2 linked regions of the Caenorhabditis elegans genome follow. The protein of the gene in region 1 interacts with the protein of each later gene in a biochemical or structural test. Each region holds a gene or a part of one and is shown on either strand. Other genes may lie near its edges. The genes, in order: F46A8.3 and famk-1.

The links.
Region 2: of the proteins of F46A8.3 (region 1) and famk-1, one has a biochemical effect on the other in vitro, tested with the Caenorhabditis elegans proteins (one study listed by BioGRID).

Annotation. Positions count from the first base shown.
Region 1 is NC_003279.8:11,242,158-11,245,432, reverse strand, and holds F46A8.3 (Galectin), read left to right. Parts: upstream 1-1,908; 5' UTR 1,909-1,912; coding exon 1,913-2,359; intron 2,360-2,439; coding exon 2,440-2,679; 3' UTR 2,680-2,696; downstream 2,697-3,275. Other genes in the region: F46A8.6 (uncharacterized protein), read left to right, coding at 430-576, 625-861, 1,304-1,335, 1,387-1,597.
Region 2 is NC_003284.9:15,208,523-15,214,956, forward strand, and holds famk-1 (Extracellular serine/threonine protein kinase CeFam20), read right to left. Parts: upstream 4,738-6,434; 5' UTR 4,711-4,737; coding exon of another isoform or gene 4,678-4,710; 5' UTR 4,656-4,677; coding exon 4,562-4,655; intron 3,500-4,561; coding exon 3,220-3,499; intron 3,126-3,219; coding exon 2,916-3,125; intron 2,866-2,915; coding exon 2,773-2,865; intron 2,692-2,772; coding exon 2,579-2,691; intron 2,517-2,578; coding exon 2,363-2,516; intron 2,314-2,362; coding exon 2,171-2,313; intron 1,870-2,170; coding exon 1,573-1,869; intron 1,464-1,572; coding exon 1,309-1,463; 3' UTR 767-1,308; downstream 1-766. UniProt on the Caenorhabditis elegans protein: Golgi serine/threonine protein kinase that phosphorylates secretory pathway proteins within Ser-x-Glu/pSer motifs.

The sequences.
Region 1 (3,275 bases):
GGAGTTTGTTAAGGTAATTGAAAGGAAAAATCATAAAACTATATAAAATACCTAGAGTGAAAAAAAATTAAGCCTATAGGTATCCAGCCATTAAAATCATTGCGTCGCATCAATAGCTGGATACTTTTTCTTAACTATCAGGATTGCAATATCACATTTACTTTTAGTTCGAAACGTCAAAATTCATATATTATTGAAAAATTTAAAATTAAAATCAAATTAACAAATACTATTTTAAAAAATGTATTCCGTGACCAACCACGTGTCTATTTTTTTGTTGTTTACTTCAAATTTTCCAAATAAATCGATAATCAAAAAATCGAATCTATAATCAATTGTAATCATTTCCCAATAACACTACCTGCTTATTAAACAAATCAACTGATGGCGGAGTGTATCGATTCACTATTTATCTACAACATATTCATAATGATAACGGTAAGCTGCTACAAAAACTACAAAACTACAATTACTACAAACTACTTTCAGAGTGGAATCCTGGTCATGTGCTTTTGCAAGAAGAAGCCTCCTAAGAGCCAGTGTCCTGTGCGACCAATGACGATGTCGATGAGAGAGGTGACTCTAATTTTGTAGTTTGCAGCCTCTGAAACCGTATTTTTTCAGGCGCAGGTATCTGATGTGGGGCCGGACAGCACGCGGACAGCGATGGACAATCAGAAAAAGAGCAAGAAGAAGAAGAGCAAGGAGCCAGCCAAGAAGAAGAAGAAATCGGCGGATTCTTCGCAGAAGGTCTCGAAGAAGAAGAAGAAGTCGAGCAAATCGAAGAAGTCGGCGGAGAAGAAGAAGCCGGAGGTGGTGGCACCAATGGACCCGGATGTCAAGTCCACGCAGAGATCAGCGGTGAGTTTTTGGCCTTAGAATCTTAAGCCTAAGCCTAAGCCTAAGCCTGAGCCTAAGCCTAAACCTGAGCCTTAGCCTAAGACTAGGATTAGGCCTAAGCCAAAGGCTAAGCCTAAACCTACGCCAACGCCTAAGCCTAAGCCTCAGCCTCAGCCCAAGCCGGAGCCTAAGCCTACACCTAAGCTTTAGCCTAAGCCCAAGCCTGAGACTATGTCAAGGCTTTAGCCTAAGCCTAAGCCTCAGCCTCAGCCCAAGCCGGAGCCTAAGCCTAAGCCTAAGCATGAGCCTAAGCCTAACCCCAAGCCTAAGCCTAGGCATAAGCCTATGTTCAAGCCTAAGCCAAAGCCTAAGCTTCAGCCTAAGCCAAAGCCTAGCTTAACCCAAAAAAGTGAGCAAAAGCTGTTGTTCATTTACGATCTCTGCACCCAAATTTCATTTTCAGGAACGTAGTGAGCAGCCGGATCAAACGGCTCAGTGAGTTTTCCCAAAATCCTACAGAAAATCAAATTTCCCCCAAAATTTCAGAACAAAAACCGCCAAAAGCGGCAAAGATATGGCACCAGCCCAGACGCCTGCTCAGGATCGTAAGTTGTGTAGGAGACTACAAACTACAATCCGATTTTTCAGAAGGTCCCCTCCGATCCCAGCCTGTCGGGCTTCCAATGGCACCTGGTATCAAATCGATGGCGGCATTCTAGAATTGAACTTGATTAATGAAATAAGTGATTCTTTGTGAGGGCTACAAACTATGAACTTCAAGGCATTTAAGGCTATTTTCGGCCTATTCAAGATCATTTGAACAGGACAAAAAATTTTCTGAACTGTAATTTTTTAGTACTTAGTCAAATCAAAATTCAATAGTTACCGTATATAAATGGTCTAAAACAGTGTGTCCTATAAAATAGTCGAGTTTCTTTTAAACTTTAAAATGTTGACGTATAATAAAGCATTGCCGATATAACCGTCAAAAGTCACACATAAACTTTGAGACTGAAGTCGGCAAGCTATAAAACATGCTTCACTCCGCTGAATCTTCAAAAGTTCCTTTTCAATGAGGCTTGTTTTTCTACTCCTCACCTTTCTGGTGCTAGTTTCTGGGTATTTCTCTGACAATGACAGAAAAAAAGTTAAGAAAATATCTATTGTCCACTATGATTCAACATCCTCCAGTTCCTCTGAAGAACATCGTTATAGGCCACGTGGTGGGAAAAGGCCTAAGTTCGACGATGATTCCTCCGATGATTACAGTGGACGACGTGGTGGAGGGCGGCAAAGACCTCCAAGGCCTCCAAGGCCTGCACCAACACCTAAGCCTAGAGAAGACTGGATAACGATCAATGGACCATTTACAACCACTCTACCTATTCCTGGAGGATATTGGGATACTGGGAAGATCATGCGAATATACGGTATTCCTGGAAGCGGAAGATGGACCATCAATCTGGCCAAATCACAAACTTGGGTGTTCCATTTCGCGTGTGAACCTACCAAGGGACTTGTAAGTTTTGCTTTTGTAGGCTAGACGCCTCAGGCTTACGCCCCTCAGGCTTTGGTCCCTCTTCATTAATAGTTTTTTAGGTAGCCAGAACCCGACATACGAATGGAGCGTGGGAAGTCGGAGAGACATATAGTGAAAACCCATTTCAAGCTAACACCCAATTCAATGTTACTATGGTCAATCAGCCAACGCATATTGAGATTCATGTCAATGGTGCATTCTTTGTGAACTTTAATCATCGAGTTCCCAATCCATCCAGAGACTATCAAGGAATTGATTTCCAGTTTGTTGCTATCTCGAAAGTGGAGTTTTCACGATAATTTGAATAAAGAATTGTGTTGCATTTGATAGAGATTTGGATTATTTGATATGGAAGATGGTAGTTTGAAACTTTAAGCTTCAGGGTTTAGGGCCTTAAATCTCTCAAACTTATTGATGTTATAATAATATAATAAGTACGGTATAATATCCGGCTAACACAATAAACACGTCTATCAGACTCGTAGCCTTTTTTGAATCAGTAGAGCAACATCGGAAATTCTGAATTTCCACAAAACTGTGATTATCACAAAGTATGAGATTACCAAATGAGCTTTCAAAAAATGGATCTTGAGATTATTTATTAGAAGTATTATACATATATAATACCAAAAATATATATCAAAAATATATCAGAGGGAAATATTTAGAATTAAAGAATTAGTCAGATTAAAGAAAGGGAAAAGAAGTTGATAATATATCATCGAATTAAATCGATATTGAGGTTAGCGTGAATCATGTGAATAGGAAATGAAGGCTAAAATTTTGGTTTGAATCATAAGGATTAAAGTTCACATTCAATTGTGTACGATTTGACAAAAGCTTTAACTAAAAGAAGGTCTTAATGAGTTTAATACAAAATTTTTGCTAAAAGTTG
Region 2 (6,434 bases), on another chromosome or scaffold:
TGCTCTAAAAATTAAATTAAATTAATTAAAGGTGGAGTAGATTCATAAATTTTTTCGCTCTAAACGACAGAAAATAACCGAATGTAACTGTAAAAAAATTTAAAAAAATTTTCTAAATGTTTTAATGATTTTTTCAATTTTGAAAAAAATCTAAGAAACGGCCGAATTAAATTTGAATTCTCGCGCAAACGAGTGACGTCATTTTTAATATTTTTTCGTTTTCTGGCTGAATGCATTTGTTTTTCATGATTTTTTCTTTAGCATTTGATTAGAAACACCGTTTGTCAATTTTTAAATTACTTTTCCGTAAAGCGGAAATTTCAAAATCAACCTAATAATCGACAATTTTAATATTTTTTATAATATTTTTTTAAAGAAAAGTGTTCGAAAAATTGACTAACAGAATTTTAACTCAAATGCAGAAGATGAAATCAAGGAAACCTGGTAAATTAAGCCAGAAAACGCGAAAATATTGAAAATGACGTCACTCATTTGCGCGGGAATTTAAATTTAATTTGGCCGCTTTTTTTAATTTTTGCAAAGTTGAAAAATCATAAAAAATTTTGAAATTTTGAAATTTTTTTTGAAATTTTGAAAATTGTTAGCAATATTGAACAGTTATATTCGGTCATTAGGGTCCACTTTTTGTCAAAATTTTAATTACTTGAAACTAAAATTTTTTTAAAAAAATTTTAAAAAATTCCTTGAAACTTGATCTCTGAAAATAACAATTCCTGTACTGGAAATGAAAAAAAAAACACAGAACAATTTAATCACAACATTTATGATTCGTCCTGAAAGTAGAAAAAAAAACAACCGATTTGACAAGAAATGGAGCACTGCAGCCACATTGCTCAGCGAGAATTATATACCCAGTAAGTTTGCGTCTTTTGATAAAAGAAGTATGATATTCAATAGGAAAAAAAAAGAAATGACAAAAAAAGAGCTGAGAATATATAATCATAATATTCAACAGAAATTCTACACAAAACAACTATCAGGTTACTTTTCAAATTCTTCGAGAAATTTTTTCGATATTATAACACCGATTTGTTTTTGATTTGACCTACATAATATGACCCTCATAAATGAATGTTTGACCAGAGAGAAACCGTGGAGCGATGGATGGGATACCTTCTTGTGGGTTTAAAAAACGGGGGGAAGTGAAAAGAAAAAATACAACAATAACAGAGAGTGAAAGAAGCTCGAGACCCGAATGCAACGCAAAGAAACATTGAAGTTTAAGAGGGAAATTTAAAATGCTACTACATGACCTTGGTAAAATTGAGAAGACCTAACGAATGACGACTAAACAGTTTTCTTATCATCCTTCTTATCCTGATGCTCCTCGCTTTGCTCTTCGTCGTTTTGCTCGGCGTCTGAGACATCGGGGTTGTTGTACTCGGCAACTAGAACTTCGGCAACTCCCCGGCTTTCGAAGCATTCCAGTATGTGAGACATAACTGAAAATTGTTTTTTTTTCTTTAAGTTTTGTATTCCCAAATTGGAATTTTCACAGGAAAATATTTTTCAGGTTTTTCGGTAACCTTTCAATATAATTTCAATACTTACTTTTTGCTAACCGCCTTTCCATTGCCGGATAATGCTTATAAGCCAAAATCGGATGGGCTGGATCTTTCGATAATGACTCGTGTAGGGCTTTCGTCAGTGACTTTGGTGTACTGTAGAAATTCATAAGGGTCTGGAAAGTGGATGGACGTAGGATGCAGCATTGTCGGAGCGGGAGAATGATGTCGTCATCGTCAAAGTCAGATCTGCCAAATGCTCGACCATGGTCGAGATGGATCGCATAGGAAGGAAGATCGTTGAACACGTTGAAGGATTCGAAGTGATGACGGTCTTGGTTTCCTGGATGTTTGTAGTTTAGTCTTTGGTTAATAATAAAATGTTAGTAAACTTGTGGTAAATGTGCACCCGACATTGAACGAGGTCCATAAAAAGCACTGTGAGCAGCAAATTCTATATTGTACAGTTGCTGTCTTTCAATTACTCTCCTCATACAGAACAGTTATGAAACTTTAATACTCGTAGCACTGTCAGAAATACGAAAAAAAAATTCCGTACAGTTATTCTATATTTACCATCCATTCGGAGGGTGCAAACACCACCGGTTTTTTATGTTCAAAATTTGACAACTGCAAATTCTTACCTATTAAATAATCCAAAATATGAATATCAACCAGATCAAGTAACCTTCTTCCATGAGCATATTGTCGCTTGGTTTTCACCTTATCCGTGCAATAATTCATACTCGACTGCCATTCAGCTACTTGATTCTTTTTCGAGTAGGTTCTGAAAACAGTCTGCTAGCTATTTTATTATCCATCGGCCTTCAACCTACCGTCTATACGGACTCCTATTATGCTTCCGAGGAACTGCTGACTCGTCGGGTAAGAACACTTGCACACTGCCTTCCTTCATATCAGGAAGACCGCAAATTGCATGTGTCGTGTCGCAGTAATAATCGCATCGTGACACGAAGCAAAAGTTTTTGGCTGGAATTATTTTTATAAAATTGATGTGGTGAACAGGTTTGGTGTCTTGATGTCAACTGTACCTGGAGAGAAGAAGAAAGTCTTCTTGAGTTTTTTCTCTGCTTTTTCGAACAGCTCAGTTGTCATATTGAGAACTCGTCCAACGGTGGGGATTGCTCGTCGGAAGCCGAGCACTCTGAAATTCAACTGACCGATTTAAAAAAAAAAATTGATAACCATCTCTAACAAAAACAAATCCATTATTTAATCCACTAACCTGTCTAAATGGAAAGTTGCGATTTCTGCATGATGTCGTTCAAAATCACTGAAGTAGAAATGATTCGGATCCGATTCATAATCGCGTCCAAATCTGAAAAAGAAAGAAAACAACTATTTTCCGGTGTTCTCTGTTCATCAAACCTCATCGGCTTAAACACGGCCTGCTTATCGTTTTTGAAGGTGAACACAAATTTCACTTGAGTGCCTCCATCCATAATGTGCACGTGTTTGATGGGACTTGTGTTGAGATCGTGCAGCAAGTTGTCAATCATTTGATCATCCGAGTACACCGAACAACTTCCAATGTTTGAGTAGAACCTCTCCCAGTTGTCATCTTCCGGCACATTTCTCCTGAAACAGTGATGAGATTTTTTTTTGCTGGCAGCTGGTGTTAAAATTTTCATTTTCATTTTCAATTTTTGAAATTTCAAAATATAAAACTTACTGTTCAGACTTCTCCCAGAACTTTGAAAGCGTGATGTTCTTCTTGCACTCGTTCTGCCTTAACTGATCAAAATCTACATTTTTAGTGAGATCATAAAGTTTGCGTAAAGTGATTTTGTTAGATGAAAACAAGAAGTTGAATGGATCACTAAGATCCTTCTCGCCAAGGCTTGGAGGAATTGGCTGGTGTGGTAGACTATTTTGTCCGACTGGAAACAAGTCGGGACTCTGGTGGCCTACAGCTCGTGCTTCGTTTGATTGAGGTCCTTGTTTCCATTCTCCTGAAAATGGATGCAAGATTATTTAGGAGAAACCTTGTGAATGGTTTGTTTAAAACTATCAACTTAGTCATACAGGCCCAGAGTTTAATAAATATAGTTATCATAAGAACTGTTAGAAAAGAGAGATAATTGAAAGGTGGAGTAGCGCCAGTGGGGAAATTGTTAACAACTATTCCTAAAATGCCGAAATGATCGAATATCATAATAAAACTTTTCAAAAATGTTTTCTAAATTTTTTTATTTACTGTCAAAAAGTGGCAATTACTCAGTTTTTGCCACTTATAATACTGGAAGTCGACCAAAATTATTTTTTCCTACATTTTTTACGCTTTAATTTTGTTTTATTTATTAGGATTTAAACATTGCAGGGGTCGGAACATGCGACGTTGCTCCAGATTTCACCAAAAGCTCATATTTTTCAAAACTGTGGAAATTTGCCAAAACTTTGATCGGAAATTATAAAAAATCTAAAAATGTTTTGGAGTGTTTTATTATGATATTCGGTCTTCTTGGATCATTATTAGTGTAGTTAGACAATATCCCCACTGGCGCTACTCCGCCTTTAATATTATAAAGTTCGAATAGGCCTAGTAAAAATATTATCAAAATGGGTAAACTACGAAAATCTATATATGTAGAACGTTTCAGACTTATTAAAAATTGCAATCAAATTTTTGGCAAACTGCCAGATTTTCAAGAAAATACAAAGTTCATAAACATTTTTTTGTAATTTTTTCCAACGTGTCATTGTCAAAAAGTTTTCTACTACTTTTTTAATACTTTTCTAGGAACAATATAAAAACTTTTGTGGAAAAGTGTTGATTAAAATAGTATTCAAAGATGTCTAAAGTTTTTCCATTTTTTTCGGAAATTGAGATTTGATCTAAATTTTCATATAGACAATAAAGACAAAATTGTCACAAAACTCCCACATGTTATAGGCCACATTTAGGCATAGTTTCTCTCTTGTTTTATCGATTGCTATCGCCACTATTCCTTTCTAGCGAATTCAAATAATCATTTTCAACCAATAAACAACACATATACAATTTTAGAACTTACTTTCATAGTTGTCCTTGGAAAACGAGATTATAACCAGTGTAGCCGCAAAAACTCCGATCGCCAAAGTGAATAATCGCTTTATATTGCACCGCATGTCTTTCTGGACTTTTCTCGTCTCACTTCTTGCTCTTTGCTGGTTTCAGCTTCATCAAACGCCGGCTCCCAGTTTTGTGACACTGCAAAATGAGCATTTATGGGGTGAGGTTCATAAGCTATTATAGATAAATAATGGGGTAGAATGAGGAAACAAGAGATCAAAGCGATTAATTAATAATTTACTCCAGCAATATATACCAATTACAATTCAATTCTAGTCCTATAAATTCAATTAAAGTTTCTTCTAATGGACAGAAGAGGGCAAGTGGGGGGAGAGAAAAAGAAACTGCCACACTGTTTTCGAGAAACATCACCACACGCACGCCATCAACCACCTCCTCCTCCTCCATCCACTCCTAAACTGACAGACCCGCACACCTTGTATATTGTAAAAACGACAAAACATTGGAGAGGCGAAGAGGCTGTAAACATCGGCGAATGATGTGGAGGGAAGGGCCTGGGAACGTCAAAGGTGTGTGTGGTTCGTTTCTTCGGCAGAGTCGCTGTGTGTGTTTGCTCGTAAAGTGCTGGGAAGCAAGAAATTGACGGAGGATTGCCCACCTTGCGTCACCGAACTTATTGGTGGTAAATGGGACTTTTTGGAAAATTAGCTGGGTCATCATTTGGGATGTGGTCAGGGTGGAGAACGAGATTGAGATTTTTGATATCCCACATCTAGAAATGATCCGTTATATGTATATTATGAGCCTTTAATAAGAGATGAGCACCAAAATTTGATTTATTATCCGTTTAAAAAACAGAAAATTTGGTTCGCTTTTGAGAATATTTTATGTAGAAAATTAAACAAAAACTGTAAGTTTGACAGGAAATTTCAATTAGCGACGAGGAAAAATCAACGACAATACTTTTACTAAATAGTTTTTTTAATTGGAAAAACAACACTTATTTTATCAAAATTTATAAATCGGACCAATTCAAGTTTGTTAATTTGTTACTAATTTGAAAAAAAACTCATAATTAAAATCAATTTTGCTCCCATGCAGATATATTTACTGCTCAAATAAACTAGGCTTAAACGTTTTACGATCAAACGTGTGGTTTTACATAAGCTTTTAAAATCTTAAAGTGGAGTAGCGCCAGGGGGAAATTGTTAAAAACCATTCCTATGGTGCCAAAATAACCGAATATCATAATAAAACTTTTCAAAAAAGTTTTCAAAATTTTTTTATTTACTGTCAAAAAGTGACAATTACTCAGTTTTTGCCACTCATAATTTTGGATTTCGACCAAAAAAAAATTTGTTTTTCTGCATTTTTTATATTGTAATTTTGTTTTATTTATTTGGATTTAAACATTGTAAGAGTCAAAACATACGACATTGCTTTGGATTTCCTCAAAAGCTCATATTTTTCAAAAATTTGTCAATTTTCCAGAACTTTGTCCGGAAAAAAAAGGAGTGGTTGATTATGATATTTGGTCGTTTTGGATCATTATAGGTTTATTTAGAAACAATCCCCACTGGCGCTACTCCACTTTTAAACATTGCACATAGAGAGAAAAATATGAAAAATAAGTACGAATCTGAAATTTCAATATTTCTATTTTAATTCCAAATCTGATTCAAAATTTAAAGATTTTTTCTTTCTATTTTCTAACCATAAAATAAAAACATTGGATCAAGAAAAAATAATCTTTCTCAAATTGTAGTCAGAATGATGATATCAGAGAAAAACAAATTTCAAGCAAAACAAAAACTATATGATAAGAAAGATGAAGAAAAAAATTGATTACACAGTTAACTGATGTTTAAACTTTT